2 linked regions of the Cricetulus griseus genome follow. The protein of the gene in region 2 interacts with the protein of the main gene of each other region in a pairwise test. Links are inferred from orthologs where the notes say so. Each region holds a gene or a part of one and is shown on either strand. Other genes may lie near its edges. The genes, in order: Dera and Aldh16a1.

What was found.
Region 1: the proteins of Aldh16a1 (region 2) and Dera interact in binary tests that used the Homo sapiens proteins (3 or more experiments, as listed by UniProt). The link is inferred for Cricetulus griseus from reciprocal best matches to the Homo sapiens genes ALDH16A1 and DERA.

The regions. Positions count from the first base shown.
Region 1 is NC_048601.1:11,195,156-11,204,129, forward strand, and holds part of Dera (deoxyribose-phosphate aldolase), read right to left. Parts: intron 7,689-8,974; coding exon 7,576-7,688; intron 4,008-7,575; coding exon 3,858-4,007; intron 3,634-3,857; coding exon 3,577-3,633; exon of another isoform or gene 3,542-3,576; intron 1-3,541. UniProt on the Homo sapiens protein: Catalyzes a reversible aldol reaction between acetaldehyde and D-glyceraldehyde 3-phosphate to generate 2-deoxy-D-ribose 5-phosphate. Participates in stress granule (SG) assembly.
Region 2 is NC_048599.1:154,027,870-154,036,597, reverse strand, and holds the end of Aldh16a1 (aldehyde dehydrogenase family 16 member A1), read left to right. Parts: intron 1-65; coding exon 66-196; intron 197-605; coding exon 606-773; intron 774-918; coding exon 919-1,120; intron 1,121-3,542; coding exon 3,543-3,728; intron 3,729-3,969; coding exon 3,970-4,092; intron 4,093-4,993; coding exon 4,994-5,155; 3' UTR 5,156-5,278; downstream 5,279-8,728.

The sequences.
Region 1 (8,974 bases), on a different chromosome or scaffold from region 2:
ACCCATCTGGTCGATGGAAGAGAAATGAGTATCAATTTCCCACTGTACTTTGATTTTTTCCAAAGAGCTGATTTGGCTTTTATAAACTGTCTATGCTCAACATAGTAACGTGTTGGCTCGATCAAGACCTTAAAAGCAACTACTTACCACACCAACACACTTCCAGAGATCATAACTGTTTTTTGCACAGCTCTCTCTGAGTGTGTTTTTCATGCAAGCTAATTCATCTGCATTTCTCATTAGCGTTGAAATGGTCCAGAATGGGGCAAAGAATTCATAATTATAAAACTGTTCTGTGGTTACACAAGCCATTTTCTCCCCATGCACACACAAATTAGAATCCAAATAATTTTCCCTAAACAAAACACAATCTCTTAAAAAAAATGTACATCTACAGGTCATCCAAAATTATGGCTTTATGATCAGCAGAAAAACTCAACCACACTAGCACATAATCAAATGGCTAGGTGGAGGTGGCCTCTAAAACACCAAATCTCTGACTAAACTTAATTTAGCTTATGGTTTTGAATGGTAGGATGAATCAACAAGCAAGAACAATTCAATTTCAAAAGCCTGACCCTATCCCATCAAATATTCAAGATGTGGTAATGTGGCCCCCTGGCTTCAGTGCTGACATTGTTTTTGAAAGAGGGTCTCACTATGTAGCCCAGACTGGCCTGGAACTCTCCATGTGGTCTCCACATAGACCAGGCTGGTGTCGAAGTCACTGAGACCCTCCTTAAAGGCATAAAGGCATGCATCCTGAGTGCACAAATGTGTGTGTGTGTGTGTGTGTGTGTGTGTGTGAGAGAGAGAGAGAGAGAGAGAGAGAGAGAGAGAGAGAGAGAGAGAGAGAGAGAGAGAGAGAGAGCTTCACCTCTGGCTTGAATCTTGAATGTAACCTTGATGGTGTGATTTTTCTACTCCAGTCTCCTCCCGTGTACAGAACGACAGGGTTGAACTCCACCACTCCCTGAAGTCCCTTCAAGTCCCCATTCCATAGGACAGTTTGAACAGTCAGTTTAGGCCTACCATGCTTTATGGCAACACTGTATCCATTTTAGGGGAAGAAGAAGGTTGTCCCTATTCACTGAATCTTTTCACACAGAACCTGGCCATTCATTTCCTGGTTGTGCAAACATCTGTCCCTAATGCTCTGAAGTACACAGATCTCCCAGCAGCAAAACATGGTCACCCCAGAAATGACTTCTTCTTTGTGTTTAATAGCAATCTCCATCAGCTAGGATGTCCCTAATAAAGTCATCCGTGTAATATGTAGATAAAGAATTGGATAAGAAGGCCCAGGAGTGCCTCAAGAAGAACCCCAAAGTCCTTGGAACAAACTGTCCCTCAAATGTGACATTACCTTTGGATCTACCACTCTCAACAGCTTCGTATGGATTCGAGAGATTCTCCAGCCTTAATCTCCTGCAGGCATCTGTAACTGTCCACAGAGGTCGGTTTCTATGGATGCCTCATATAAATTAAAATTGAAGATAATGATGCCTGTTCACTTGGTCAACCCCAAATGACCGGCTGGGTTTAATGGGAGGAAAAGAGAAACCCCACTGAAATTAGAATAGCTCCGAAGGTGATAGGATGCAATTATTTTTCCGTAATGTTTCTTCTCCAAAGGTGACTGGCCACTGTGCTGGCGAGCGCCAGGGCCAGCACATTATGAAGTTGGATAAGGCACTCAGAGCTAAGCACAAGCCAGGAGTCAGCATTTTGCTACAGTGCTGGGGAAAGCAGGGTTTCTTTTTCTGTTCTTATTTTAGTTGTTTCCTTTACAGTTAGTGAAGTGCTTTGAGGGAATTGCTTAATTGACTCCCGAGAGGCAAATTCTAATTTAGATCGGTACAAAGTGTTTTCTCTTTCTAGCCATAAAACATTTTCTTGGATTTGTTCTAATTATCCTTGGGGTGATGTGATCTTGGGTCTGAAAGCACGATTAAGTCACCTGCCCTCACCCCTTCCCTTCATAGAGGCAGACAGAGGTCGAAGGATGCACACAGACTGGACCAAAGTCCCAAGGTGAGACAGAGGCAGAGGCTGGGCTAAGACATCTGCAGGAGATGATGCAGGAGACTGACTCAGGCTGGTGCTTTTGCTCATGATTAACAGGAAAGGTATTCATGGGAGGGAAAGAGTGGAAGGAGGGAGAGAGGGAGGGAGGAAGGAGGGAGGGAGGGAGGGAGGGAGGGAGGGAGGGAGGAGAGGGAGGGAGGGAGGGGAGGGAGGGAGGGGAGGGAGGGAGGGAGGGAGGGAGGGAGAGAGGGAGGGAAGGAGGGAGGACTGATTGATTCTTGATGAAAAGGCCATTTTAAAAAGCTCAGGTTCTACAACATGGCAGAGGTGTCAGCAAGCAAGGACACTGGAAGGGGGAGGAGCCACAGAGCAAAGGAGAACACAAAGCATGAAGCCGGTCACATGTCACAGCTCTGCTCCTGTGTCCCTAGCTGCTTAAAGGTGACTCACAAAAGGGACCACAGACTGAGCAGCAAGCCTCACCTGGTTTGCTGATTATTTACTTGTTTTTGTAGTCCCAGGTATCAGGTCCAAGGCCTCTCTCACAGGCCACACAAGCACGCCATCCCTATGCCAGGGCTACTTTCTCCATCTTGGATTCATCTGTGCATTGCACACACACACACATACACACACACACACACACACACACACACACACACACACACACACACACACACACACACACGTGCAGGTCAATTCGTAAACGTGTGGGAAGCAGAGACCAGCCTTTGTCTGCCTGGATTTTGGGCAGAAGCCTGTAACTGCACAGTGAGTTGCACGGCCAGTGGTGGAGTTACAAACAGATGCCACCACACACCCAGCTTTTCCTTTCTTTTAATAATTTAAAGAGACTAAAACAACAACCGTCACCAAGTCAGGCAGGTGGTAGCCCCAGCATTTTCAAAGCTCCAGCCCAGAAGCCCCCGCCCAAAGTAGACAAAATAAATAAGCAGAGACTTTTGAATTTAAAAAGTCAGTGGTATTCACATTTTCTCATAACAACATCAGAATCTCATTAGCAAAACAATTACTGAAAGAGTCCTTGGTCCACCACAGAAATTCAGGTGAGAGCCAGGGAGGAGCTCCACGTTCTTGGGCTTTCCAGGAGCCGGCTTTCCCCTCCCACAATGCAGTTATTGAGAACTGAACTTGTGGTCAGGATTGGTAGCAAGCACCATCCTGGGCCAAGTCCTCTTGCCTGCCCTAGAATCTCATGTCTTGGGCCATTTAACTTCATTTCCCCCTCAGAATTTGCTGCAGTATGGGCTATTAGGAACACTTTATTTGGAGTTGTTTAGAGAAGACCTTCATAAAATTAATAATTGTAGACCTCCTAATAATTAAGAGCATTTCAGCCTCACTTGATCAGAGTTCCACATACAGATTCAAATTGATTTGTTTCTTTTGGTTTTTTTGAGTTAGTTTCAGGGGAGATTTTATTGGGGGAAAAGTCAGTTACCTATTCTTAAATTACATAACCTTGGCAATTATGCAAAAGATATTTTTTTACTTGTTGCAAGATGCTTTTCTGGGCTGGCTGCTGACCTAAGACATCGGAAGATCATGATAAGCTGCGTACCGTCCAGTCACGTGGTGGTATATCTAGGAGGAAGCCCAGTTTCATCCGTTAGTAATTACGCAGGCGTACACATAAGATAGTAGCCATCCTGCTGCCCATAGTAATTCCACTTGGCGCTGCGTTCGCAACCTCTTCAGCACAACTGGCACCTGACCTCTAGCAGGTGCGGGTCTGCTTGAAGGAGGTGGAGCCCTGGTTCTGCGGGGTCAACCTCCCCTCCTTCCAAGGACAAGGTCTCTCCACTCACCTGCCTCTCGATGTCTGAGAGCAGAGAACTGGCCCCTATCCGGAAGAGGTCAGGTGTCAGCCACTCATCCCCCAGCTCCTCCTTTATAAGAGAGAGCCATGCAAGGGACTCCTTTGCGGTGCGGATGCCTCCTGCAGGTTTAAAGCCTACCTGAGGGGGAGGAGAGAAGAGGAACCATCATTAGCAGGCTGATTTCAAAAGGGGCACCCTGAAGAAACAGGATTGAGTCACACTTTCCTTCTTAGTCTGTTTCACTTCGGCAAAGATACCTATATCAATAGAGCATTACCTGAAAATTCCAAGACCAATGGGGCCTGGGTTACTGCTTCTGAAGGGATAAGAACGAGGGGACATCTCACCTCATAAACTTCCACCATCTAGACTAAATGTGTACATCTGGAGAAGCCAAGGAAAGTGTCAATAAACAAGAAAATACACCACAGGTATTCATCCAGTCTACACTGCTTCCAATGAGCCTGCATCTTGAGGTGCAAGTCACTTTGTATTTAAGGCCAGATCAGTGTGGCCACAAGATCAACCTAATCAAACTGGCAGCTGTCAAGCAAGAGCTGACGGGTACTTTAATCGACCTAACTGCAGGCTTCTTTTCAGAGGCCATAGGTACAGGGTTCTACAAAGCAGGCAGACTGTTAATGTAAGCTTGGTAGAAGAACGCCATACTGTTTTTGAAAGTCTGTAGGGAGGGCCATAAAGCAGTCAGTCCCAGGTGGCTGAGAGGCCGAGAGCCACCTGGGACCCATGCTTTTCCAGAGGACTTGAGTTCACTGCTCGGCACTCACGTTGAGGGACTCTCACTCCAGGGGTTCCTGTGCCTTTTTCTGGCTTCCACAGGAACTCACACACACATGGTGCACACAAATACACAGACACGCACACATGCACGCAAGCATTCACAAATAAATCCTTAAAAAAAGACACAGTCCAAACAGCCAATAGATGCTGGTTGTTTCTACGTGATGTCTGATACCATCAGGAAAAGCCCAGGTTGCATGTGTAGAAAACCTCATGGCCTCTGGATTCACTTGTCTCAGGAATGTAACTATGCAGAGAGTAGATGAGTCTATACACACAAGCTGCCCAACCACTCTATGTGCAGCCCAAGGGCTCAGAGCTCTTTCAATAGATCACCCTGGCAGGACGCAGAAGGAGCCAATGAAAGAAAGGTCCCATTAGTCAGCGGGAAATCCCACTGTGAACACAGCCACTGCCATTGTGTTGGTACTTCGCAGCCACCCAGCCATTGCAGCATCACACTGGCGTGTTCCTGCCAAGCCTGCCTTCACATCCTAGGATATCCACATCCTACCTCTCTCTACCCTCAGTCCTTTCAGGGAAGAGTGTCATGAATGGTCTCCTAAGTGGGTTCCCTGCCTTCATCATACATGAGATAGCCAGCTCAGCAGGAGCATACTTGTAGCCACTGTTGCAGACTGGCAAACAGATAGACAAACGCAGTAGGTGAGCGACAGGAAGCACACACGGCCATGGGAGGGAGGAGTCTTCCTGCAAGTCAGGTGGGCAGTGTTCATAAAGATTTCCTAGACATAGAAGTCAGCGTCGGCAACTCCACCCCAAGAAGAAGTGCTTGTGCAAGTTAATACATTGCAAGCGAGAGAATATGGAAAACAAATCTGCAATGAAATCAGTTACAATATACAAAATCCCAGCTTCCTAGGGGTGGCACCAGGCATGGCCTGGAATGTGGGCTTTTGCATCGTATAACATGGCTCACATCAATGAAGGAGGAACCACAGTCTATGGCCTCCTGGGCTTGCCATCACCAACTTAAAGGCCATGCCCGGCTTGCAGTTGCATACCCAACCATACACAACAGGATGTGTCTTGCACTCGGCCTTTGCTTAACGATAAGTGGGCCATTTGGCTACTAGGTGGGGAAAGAACAGAACCATTAAGGATGCAAAGACAAGCAAAATGCATCTCCAAACTCCAGCCCGGACCATTGAGCACTTGTGTTCTCTGAGATCTGTTTTTTGCTGTCTGAGAGCTGTCTTAGGAGGGGACATATTTGTGTTTACACCCTAACACAGGTTAGCACGGCCCTCAGTCACCCACTTGGGAACTGTTTCTTTGGTTCCCAAAAGCATGCATTACCCCTAAAGGTGGAGTTCATGGAACATGGATGCCAAGGGACTCTTCCAGACCCATGGCTGTCAAGCCTGGGAGCCCAGGATTCTACATGCATGGCCAGCTGAGTATCTAATTTTGATGTTCTCAGGCTAACCCTTATCAAAAACCTGTGACTCAGTAGAATCAGTTTGCTAAACGACTTTAGGGATGAGTGGCATGGGCCTAAAGGAGGTGACAGCCACACTGAAAGAAGATGAGCTGCTGCTTACACAGCTTTTCTTTGAGAACAAAACAATGTTCCTTAAATTGTTGGATTTGTATCAGTGCAGAGAGACCAACGGTAACAATGTGTTTTCCCTACCTGTGCTTAACAATGTGAGCTCATTCAGAGAAAACTCCGGGAGGTTATTTCCTCTCACAAGGGGCATAGCCCATGTAAGTCTCCAATTCCAAAATAAATCTAAGCCATAGTCACTCGTGAAGCCATAAAGACATCCCATCCCGTAGACAAAGCATTAAAGGTCTTCTTGAGGGAGGAGATGGCAGAAAGTAAGATACTGGTTTTTAAAAGATGCCCCTCAGGGAGGGAAGTCTTATTATATCAGCGCCTTCGAACATGTGCGCGCACACATACACACCACACACACACACACACACACACACACACACACACACACACCTTTCCAGCTAGGCAAAAAAAAAAAAAAAAAAAAGTCCTTCTTAGATAATTTGTGACTAGACAAGCAACTTGAAATAGAAAATCCAAATCCAGTTTTTAAGAAACACTTCGTACGCATTTTCCCATTTAACTTTGTATGCTTCAAAAAATTCTGTGTTGCTCTTCGAAAAGCTGACAAAAGTTAGCATATACTCTCCTCAGCTCAACACTCTCCCAAACAGCACGGCCAACCACCATAAAACGTTAAAAAAAAATGGATATTTAATTCAAGAGCTATAGGACGGAGAGCTACCATTTCCCTGCTGTTTCGTGGTATTTCATTATTCTGTTTAATAAGTTCATCTCCTCGAGAATTTTCTCTTCACCTCATATTATTAAAAGTAATAAGTTTTTCTGGACCGGGGGTTTCCCAACAGAAAAACCAATTTATGTGTGTCCTTCAATAATGACAGGGAAAGATTACTTCCCATTATACTGCCTACTTTTCATATCACCACCACAGCTTATCATTCAATAAATGTTACTCTGAGATTCTTTCCATTCCATGAGGAAGTTAAATTTCTACATTAACCTGTTTTCACCGGCCAACGCCTCGCAAGAAGAAGCTCTGTGTCGCAGTACAATTAGTTCCTTAAAGAACCCATTTAGGAATCTCTTGTCAGTGCTAAAATTGTCTTGGGTTAATAAAAGGACAGAGTGAGTTTACATCTTGATCACACAGGCACACACTCACACTCACTGTTAATCACACACTTTCCCCCACCGAGGTATTCTTTTGTAATGAAAGGTAAATTAAACATTTATCTTAATAAAGGCGACTCATTCACACCTTCTGCACAGGGAGACGTTATCGTTATCCTGCGGACTGTGAGGAGGGTTATAAATAGCATTCTCTTCACTTTGAAGGGAGATTTGCTGGCAATACCGTACCTTGTTTCCAGTTTTCCAGAAGAAATCTCTAATGGCCCGTAGCATTACGATCGCTACTGGGAAGGTGGCATTTACCGTTTCTTTTCCAGTAGAAGTCTTAATAAAATCTGATCCTAAAACAAAAGCAAGAAAAACTCCCAGGTTAATTAAAAACTTACTTTTATACTTAAGTCATTGAAAGAAGTGAATTATGTGCAAACCTCCCCCAACCCCCATCTCCCTAAGGACAACTTTACTTTTTGGTAATTATGTGAAAAAACTAAAATGAAAATCTACCTTTAAAATATTTCTGTTTATATAAGAGCCAGAAGAAAGGGAGAAGGGCTGAAAATTGCCATCTTCTGGGCACAACACAGTCACTGCAATCACGTCCCACAGAAGCAGAGGCTGTCACTACCAGGCCTGTACAAGACTGAGCCCATCATTCATCAATCACGGATGGGGATGTACCCCTCCCTGTTGAACTTCTTGCTACTGGGGGGTTCTGGGGAAGGACAGTCATTGTTTTGGGTTGATTACCCATGGCTAAGCCTACCAGGCTCCAAGGGACAGTTCTAAACCCATAGTTGCTTGGCCCTGCTTAAAATCTGTGGGTCACAAAACCAAACACAAAGACACAATGTAGGAAAGGGGTGACAGGAAGTGCAGATGGTTGGGGGGGGGGTGTCAGGAGCGGGAAATAGAAGGGAGGGTGGGGTATAAGGAAGAGTAGGGGGGAGTAATCAGAACGCATCACCCACGTATGAAATGAAAATGAAAATAATCTCTTAGAATTTTATCTTTCTTCACCATCAGATAAATTAAATTAGACAGTCAATGGATTCTCATAGACTCTGGTATTCTTGTCTCCATATTTCACAGCCAATTAAAATCAAGTTGGTTTGTTTAATGCATAACTGAGATGAATAAAAACAATTTTATGCCCTATGCTCACTACCATGTATCTTTCCCACAGAACTGTGGAGTGCCTACTCATTTCCCCTCCTTCTCTCACACTCAGTGGAAAGAAAGCCCATGGCCCAGTTGTGACAACCCCAGAACTGTTACAGGCTGGTATTTAGTGAAGTAGTAGGCCTCCCAACAGACGAGACTTCATGAAAGATGCTGTACTGTTGACAGTTTGCAGATGTTTTCTTCCTTCTCTTGGATCTTGAGCCTGTTTCCTTAACTTATTAGAGCAACACAGGGAGATAAAAGGTAACAATGGCAGGGAGGGACTAGCACCTCGTGCTTCATGGGCGTCGGCACAGTCAGTCCCTACCACTATTACCAAGTACTGACACGAGCACTTTCTTCAAAGAGGACACTGAGGCACCGAAAAGTTACGTAGCTTTCTTGAAGTTGCATGGTACCGTGTCCCCCCACCCATGTGATCCTGTGAAGAGAGGACGAGTTCCGC
Region 2 (8,728 bases):
ACACCCAGCACCCCTGAGTTACTTTGAGTTCATCAGGCCTCCTTGTGACTGTGCATTTCTCACAGGGTCTGTATGAATACCTTTGGCCCTCGGGGACACCTTCCTGGGAGCCTGCCCTTTGCGAGAGTCTCAACTATGACACGTTTGGCCTTGCCGTGCCCTCCAGCCTGGTGTCAGGGCCAGAAACAGGGCTCAGGTGAGCAGTTGTAGGCCTGGTAGTCTAAGGGTGAGGTTGAGGAGTCTGGAGGGGGACACGCCAGAGTGTAGCTTTCGGGTCTTAGGGTCTCGTGGCCCTAACCCCAGGTCTGGAGACTCTCAGTTCTACTTAGCAGTTTGAGTTTTCCCAGAAGCAAGAATCCAGGGGGTATCTAAATATATGCACATGGGAACAAGAATTTGAATGTCCACAGAAGCTCTTGGGATAGGAATTCAGAATCCTGTAGAGGCTCATGGGAGCAGGTGTTTGGATCCTTCAAGAAGCTCATGAGAATAAAAATTTGAGTCCAAAAGGTTCATGGGAACTGAGATGGTCCATGGTACCACCAGTATAGTGGAGCATGGGGCCTGAGTGGGCCCAGTACCTCCTCACACCTCACTCTGTGCAGCCCAGTACCCCCCTATGGGCTGTTTGTTGGGGGCCGTTTCCAGGCTCCTGGGTCCCGAACCTCCAGGCCCATTCAGGATTCTTCAGGCAAACTTCACAGCTATGTTGCTGAGGGTGGAGCCAAGGATATCCGAGGTGCTGTAGAGACTGCTCATCAGGCTGCCCCTGGGTAAGAGGGTCAAATGGAAGGGTGGCTGGGAAGGGAGTAAACTTGGGATTGGAGCCCTAGATTGGGGCTGTGGACAGAGTTGGCTATCTGGGAATAACTAGGGCCAGGCTATACCCCTCCCCTAACTTACATTATTTGCCCACAGCTGGGGGGCCCAGTCTCCAGGGGCCCGAGCACGCCTGCTGTGGGCCCTGGCAGCTGCAGTGGAGCGTAGGAAGCCAGCTCTGGCCTCACAACTAGAGAGCCACGGAATAGCCCCTATGGTTGCCAAGACTGAAGTAGAGCTGAGTGTGAGGCGGCTCCAGATTTGGGGCACCAAGGTTCAAGACCAAGGCCAGACACTGCAGGTGAGACACCTCTAAGCAGGTAGGCAGGGCAGGGCAGGCAGCCAGACAAGAGTTAGAGCCTAGGCTCCAGTGAGCCAGGCATGTGTCTAGGCTCAGCCCCAGGAATTCTAGAAAGTACAACTAACCCTGATGAGAGAAAAGACTGGAGGGCTCAGACCAGTCAGGAGGGAAGGTCACACTTACAGGAAGGATAGCAGGTGTTCATGAGTATACACACATCAGAACCTCCCAGGAGTGCCATTTAAAGTCTATGTTTTGTTGTTATTGTTGTTTTTCCCTTTTTTTTTTTTTTTTTTTTTTTTTTTTTTTTTTTTTTTTGGTTTTTCGAGACAGGGTTTCTCTGTGGCTTTGGAGGCTGTCCTGGAACTAGCTCTTGTAGACCAGGCTGGCCTCAAACTCACAAAGATCCACCTGCCTCTGCCTCCCAAGTGCTGGGATTAAAGGCGTGTGCCACCAATGCCTGGCCTGTTTTTCCTTTTTTTTATTAGAAAATTGTTTTTACATGTCAATCCCAGGTCCCTCTCCCTCCCCTCCTCCCCTGTCTTCCCCCCCCCCCCAAATAACACCCTGCCTATCCCATACCCTTTCTGCTCCCCAGGGAGGGTGAAGCCTTCCATAGGGGGTCTTCAAAGTCTGTCATAAGTCTGTGGTTTTTTGTTTAGTTTGGTTTGGGTTTTTTTTTTTTTTCGAGACAGGGTTTCTCTGTAGCTTTGGAGGCTGTCCTGGAACTCAGTCTGTAGATCAGGCTGTCCTGGAACTCATACAGATCTGCCTGTCTCTGCCTCCCCAAGTGCTGGGATTAAAGGTGTGTGCCATTACCTACTGCCCAGTTCATTTAAAGTCTATGTAATGTAGGCTTGATTATATTCAAGAAGGCTTTTGTAAACACACATGGTAGAGCAGGCCTAAAATCTCAGCATGTGGAAATTGTTGTGATTTTGTAAAAGTTTAAAAATTAGAGATGGGGTAATTGCGATGGAACACGAACTATAGAGAGCACATTAACCAGTTTATTACAGGGTGGGAGAGCGAGAGGGGGAGAAAGAGAAATGGAAGAACAGAGCAGAGCAGAGAGTAAGAGAGAAGAATTAGTGGTTGACCACTGGAAACAGAAGAGAGCAGAGGGATGTGGGCGCAGGCTTAAAAGGGGAGCTCGTGCATGCGCAGAGTCCCTACACAGCCTTGTAACGGGTGAGATGTGGCCACGCAGCACAAGGCCCTTTGAGCTGCCTGGGTATCTGCCTGAACCTTTCAGAAATAGAGGCAGAAAAATCAAAAGTTCAAGTTCAGTGTCAGCCTTGGCTACATAGTGAAATCCTTTTTCAAAACACCAAGGCCGGGGCAGAGGGCACAGTTAAGAGCACTTTCTGTTCTTGCAGAGGATGGGATTGATTTCAGCACCCAAATCAGGGTGCTCACAACTTCTTGTGACTCTACATAACTCCAGGGTAACCTTGTGACCCCTTTTAGCACCCACAAGTGCACATGACCACATACCCCCAACATGCACACATAGACACATAATTAAATAAATCCAGCAGGGTGTGGTAGCACACTCCTTAAGTCCTAGCACTCGGGAGGCAGAGGCAGACAGATGTCTCAGTTCAAGGCCAGCCTGGTCTACAAAGCAAGTTCCAAGACAGCCAGGGCTATTTAGAGAAACCCTGTCTCAAAAAAAAAAAAAAACAAAAATAGGCTGGGCGTTGGTGGTGCACGCCTTTAGTCCCAGCACACAGGAGGCAGAGGCAGACGGATCTCTGTGAGTTCGAGGCCAGCCTGGTCTCCAGAGCGAGTGTCAGGATAGGCTCCAAAGCTGTACAGAGAAACCCTGTCTCGAAAAACCAAAAAAAAAAAGAAAAAAAGAAAAAAGAAAAAGAAAGAAAGAAAGAAAGAAAGAAAGAAAGAAAGAAAGAAAAGAAAAAAACAAAGATAGTTCAATAAATATACAATCTATAAATCAAGCTGGGTGGTGGTGCATGCCTTTAATCCCAGCACGAAGGACACAGAGGCATGCAGATCTCTGAGTCTGCCAGCCTGATCTACATAGGGAGACCCTGTCTCACGACAAAACAGAAAACAAGGGTTGGAGTTCACTTCAGTGGTAGAACACTTGCCTATCTCTAGCATGCTTTGAGCCCTCTACAGTACCACAAAACAGTGATGGCACAGACCCAAAATCCTAGCTACTCCATAGGCTGAGGCAGGGGCATGGCAGATTCAAGGCAATACATACAGGCAGAGGTTTAACTAGTGCAGACCCACATAGCCAATGAGTGGCCATTGGGCTGCAGGCCTTTGTTCCCTGAACCAGTGTCCCCCAGTCCCACTTTATTGGAGTTGTTCTGGAGATATGAACATGTCAGATGGGGAAGATGGGGCAGGCTCTGAGAACTTGCTCTTGATGTGTCATCTGTCCCTGTAGGTAACAGGGTTGAGAGGACCTGTGCTCCGGCTTCGAGAGCCACTTGGAGTGCTGGCTGTGGTGTGCCCGGATGAGTGGCCCCTGCTGGCCTTTGTGTCACTGCTGGCTCCTGCCCTGGCCCATGGCAATGCTGTGGTCTTAGTACCTAGTGGGGCCTGTCCTCTGCCAGCCCTGGAGGTCTGTCAGGTAAAATCCCCTGCCTTCCCTCCTGCCTGCTGCTGCTTCTAGGTCTTCAGGAATTCAGCTGGCCTCTTCCCTCCTAGTAGCCATGGCAACTTGAGTCCCAGCATCCCATCCAAGTCTATCACCCAGGTCCTATTCCTTCTGGGAGCCCCTACAGCCATTCCCAGATGCCCAGTCCTCAGTCCTCACCCTGCCCTCCCTCATTGCTGTTCAACCCTGAGTGTCCTACTCTCTCACGTCCTAGGATATAGCCACCCTGTTCCCTGCTGGTCTGGTGAACGTAGTGACAGGAGATCGGGACCACCTGACCCGCTGCCTGGCCTTACATCAGGACATTCAGGCCCTGTGGTACTTCGGGTCTGCCCAGGTAATTCAGAGTCTTTTTTTTTTTTTTTTTTTTTTTTATGCAGTGTTGACCTTATTTTTTTTATTTTTTTAAGATTTATTTACTATGTATACGGTGTTCTGTCTGCATGTATGCTTGCAGACCAGAAGAGGGCACTGTAGATCTCATTATAGATGGTTATGAGCCACCATGTGGTTGCTGGGAATTGAACTCAGGACCTCTGGAAAAGCAATCAGTGCTCTTAACCTCTGAGCCATCTCTCCAGCCCCGTAATTCAGAGTCTTAACCAACAGTCTTTTGGCTTCATCCCCTGGAGACCCCTGTTGCTAAGAGGAAGAAATTCATTGGCCACAACTTCCGAGATCCTCTCCTGGTAAAAGTCCCGTCACCAGAGGGTCTTTTTTTTTTTTTTTTTTTTTTTTTTTTTTTTTTTCAAGATGGTTTCTCTGTGTAGCCCTGGCTATCCTAGAATTCACTCTGTAGACCAGGCTGGTCTTAAACTCAGATCCACCTGCCTCTGCCTCCCAAGTGCTGGGATTAAAGGTGTGCGCCACCGCTACCTTATGGAAGAGGGTATTCTTCATAATAAGGACCTAAATGCCTCCCCTGCCCAAAGACATCATCTTTTTGGAAGACCTATTGTTAAGGGACTAAACCATAACAACATTCCAAACTCCAGGTCTACCCTCCTAAGCCACCTGTTGGCAGATGGGATGCCCCATTGGCGAGATCCTTGAACATGAGCACTGGGAAAGATGGGGATTCCCTGGGTCTGCTTCCTCTGCATCTGGAAGGAATATTGGCCAGGACCCAAATATCCAGCCTTATCAGGCCTTTAGGTTTCTCCAAGTCCTCATTGCTAAGGAAGCAGCTATTCAGCAACTAAACGCTGGCAGTACTAATCACTTGTCTCCCATCCCAGGGCTCCCAGTTTGTGGAATGGGCCTCTGCAGGAAACCTCAAGTCTGTGTGGGTAAACAGGGGCTTCCCAAGGGCCTGGGATGAAGAGGTCCAGGGGGAAGGACCAGAGCTGAGTCTGCATGCAGCACGAACCAAGGCCCTGTGGCTCCCAATGGGGGACTGATGCCTGAAGCTGTCCACTCCATCTTGGGTGCCCAGAGATACCAGATGTTTGGAATTTTTCTCTCAGATTTCCCATGGTTTCCAATAAACTGAGTGACTTTTACTGCTTTTGAGGATTCCCAAACAGTGGCTTCTTCATGTGTGGCCCAGTAGGCAACTGTGGAACAACACTGTGTTTATGGGATGGTTAAAGGGCACTCACCCCCACCCAGCACTCCGGGGTCATTAGGAGTTAGAGGGAAGTCCCTGGAAGGCTCTGTACCCTTTATGCTTGATTCCAGAGTTGAGTGGGCTGCAGGGCCACCTCCTTCCCATAAGTCCTCTTTCTGAACTGGAAGGTCTGTATCCCAGCACATCCCCAAGAGGAATGAGATGCCAGCCAGAGCCAGGGGCCACCACTATTGGGACAAGTACTGAGGGCACAGCTGCCAGGCAAGATCTGACTTCCTAAGGAGGAGCCCAAACTGTGACCAGGTGTTTGCTTGCACAGCAGATCCCCTCTCAGCAGATTTAGCTTTAATTTGGTTTTTAGGTTTGGGGGGGGTGTTTGTTTGTTTTCCCCCCTTTGATCATTTTCAGCAAAGTATCAAGGAGTAAGGAGTAGCTCAGCTGATCTGTCCATCCAATCCCCCTGCCTCAGCATGAGGTTACAGACAATTGCCTCCAGGCCTGACCTAGAACTCCAAGCACGTGCATGTGTGAATAAGAGAGAGGGTAAACAGTAAACAACTTACGGAGTCGGTTCTCTCCACCACCATGTTGGTCCATGGGATCAAATGCAGGTGTCCTGCTTGGCAGTCGTGACCTGTATTTTATCAGCTGGGCCATTTCAGCAGCCCCTGGTCTGGAATCTTATGATCCTCCTACATTTGCCTTGTGCTGGGATTGTGTATGTGTGGGCATGCCCAACATTAATCTTGTCTACCAAGCCTTTCACCAGGTAAGATCACAAAACAAGACAGTGAACAGCCACACAGACTCAGAGAGGCTAAACACGATGGCTGCCCACAGGGAAGAGAAGTGGGTAGGAGAGCAGTCAGGTGGCCTAGCTTTTTGGTTTGGTTTTTTTGTTTTTTTGAGACAGGGTTTCTCTGTAGCTTTGGAGGCTATCCTAGAATTCACTCTGTAGACCAGGCTGGCCTCAAACTCACAGAGATCCTCCTGCCTCTGCCTCCCAAGTGCTAGGATTAAAGGCATGTGCACCACCAACGCCCAGCAGTGGCCTAGTGTTGTTGCAGTAAACCTATGTCTGGGTGACTCATTGCATGTTCTCTCTCTCTCTCTCTCTCTCTCTCTCTCTCTCTCTCTCTCTCTCTCTCTCTCTCTCTCTCTGTGTGTGTGTGTGTGTGTGTGTGCTCATCAAAGTTGCTGTTGCCTGGGGAATTGGGCTGATGGAGGCTGTCTTAACCTATTTTCTTGTATGTTGCAGTTTGGTGGTGGTGCTCTGTTTGTTGGGGGTTTGTCTGGTTGTTTGATTTTGAGACTATATATATCCCAGGTTGGACTAGAACTTCCTTTGGCACCAAAGATGACCTTGAACTCCTGATCTTCTGCCAATGGGATGACAAGCATGAGCCATTAGGCACAACTTTTTCTTGGTCTATTTTCTGTGGCTGTAACTGATTATCATAGACTGTCACTTGCCAAGAATAAAGGTTTCAGCACAAGGCTGTGGAAGCTAGGAGGGGCCCCATCTGGTTGGCATCTGTAAGGCCTTCCTGGCATAATAATGGGATCGAGGATACCTTGTAGCATGACAGCTTTTTTTTTTCATTTTTGGTTTTTTGAGACAGGGTTTCTCTGTGTAGCTTTGGAGCCTATCCTGGCACTCGCTCTGGAGACCAGGCTGGCCTCGAACTCACAGAGATCCACCTGCCTCTGCCTCCCGAGTGCTGGGATTAAAGGCGTGTGCCACCAACGCCCAGCTGCATGACAGCTTTTTAGAATGCTCTTAACAACAAAGCCTCACCGCCGCCGCCCCCGCCCCGCCCCGCCCGCCCCGCCCCGCCCGCCTTTCGACCCTGTGTCTTAATTAAGGCTACTGTTGCTGTGATGTAACACCATGCCAAAAAGCAGCTTGGGGAGAAAAGAGTTTATTTGCACATTTCAAATCACAGTTCACTGAAGAAAACCAAGGCGGGAACTCAAACCTTGAAGCAGGGCAGGGGTTGGAAGCTGATACAGGGGCCATGGTGGAGTGCTTACTCTCTTGTTCCTCAAGTCTTGCTCAGCCTGCTTTCTTTTTCTTTTTCTTTTCTTTTTTTCTTTTTTTTTTATTTTGGTTTTTCGAGACAGGGTTTTTCTGTTCAGCCTGCTTTCTTATAGCACCCATGGCCACCAGGGTTGGCACCACTCACCATGGACTGTGCGTTCCGGTGTCACTAGTTAAGAAAATACCCTACAGGCTTGCTGCAGCCAGATCTTAATGAAGGCAATTTGACAACTGAGTTTTCCTCCCCTCGGATGGCTATAGCTTGTCAAGTTGACATAAAACTATCCAGCACAAGTCGGGCAGTGGTGGCCCACACCTTTAATCCTAGCACTTGGGAGGCAAAGGCAGAGGCAGGGGAGCTCTGAGTTCGAGGACAGTCTGGTCTGCAGAGTGACCAGGACAGTGAGGGCTACAAAGAGAAACCCTGTCTTAAAACAACAAAAACAAGGCAGCACAGTATGTTCTTTATTTTTATTATGTAAGGGGTATGGGCACATGAGGCCAGAAGGAGGTTATTAGGTACCAGGGAGCTGCACCCACCATGACCCCTGGGAACTGAACTCAGGCCCTGTGTAGTAGTAAGTACTTTTTGTTTTTTGTTTTTTTCTTTTTTCGAGACAGGGTTTCTCTGTGGCTTTGGAGGCTGTCCTGTAACTAGCTCTTGTAGACCAGGCTGGTCTCAAACTCATAGAGATCCACCTGCCTCTGCCTCCTGAGTGCAGGGATTAAAGGTGTGCGCCACCAACACCCAGCAGTAAGTACTTTTTTAAATCAGTCCCATGTTTTAAAAGTTTTTGAGCCGGGCGTTGGTGGTGCACGCCTTTAATTCCAGCACTCGGGAGGCAGAGGCAGGCGAATCTCTGAGTTCGAGGCCAGCCTGGTCTCCAGAGCGAGTTCCAGGATAGGCTCCAAAGCTACACAGAGAAACCCTGTCTTGAAAAACCAAAATAATAATAATAATAATAATAAAAGTTTTTGAGACAGTCTTGCTGGGGGTGGTAGCACACACTAATGCCAGAGGCAGGGTAGGAGGGTCTCCTTGAATTTGAGGGCAGCCTTGTCTATATCTTGTTCCAGGCTAGGGCTACATAGTATACATAATAAGACTCTGAAAAAAGAGTAAGTTTGACTAACCCTGGCTGAATTGGAACTTACTGTGTAGCCCAAGCTGTTCCAGGACTTACTGTGATCCTCCTGCCCAGCCCAATTATTACTCCATTAAAGCTCCAGCTGGAGATACCAACAATGTGACTGTGGGGGTTAAGTTTCCAACACATGAAAACATGAAGGAGACACAGTCACAACACAGGCCCACTTCCCGCACAGCCATTCTCAAGCCTTTTGAGCTTCACCCAGGAGGAA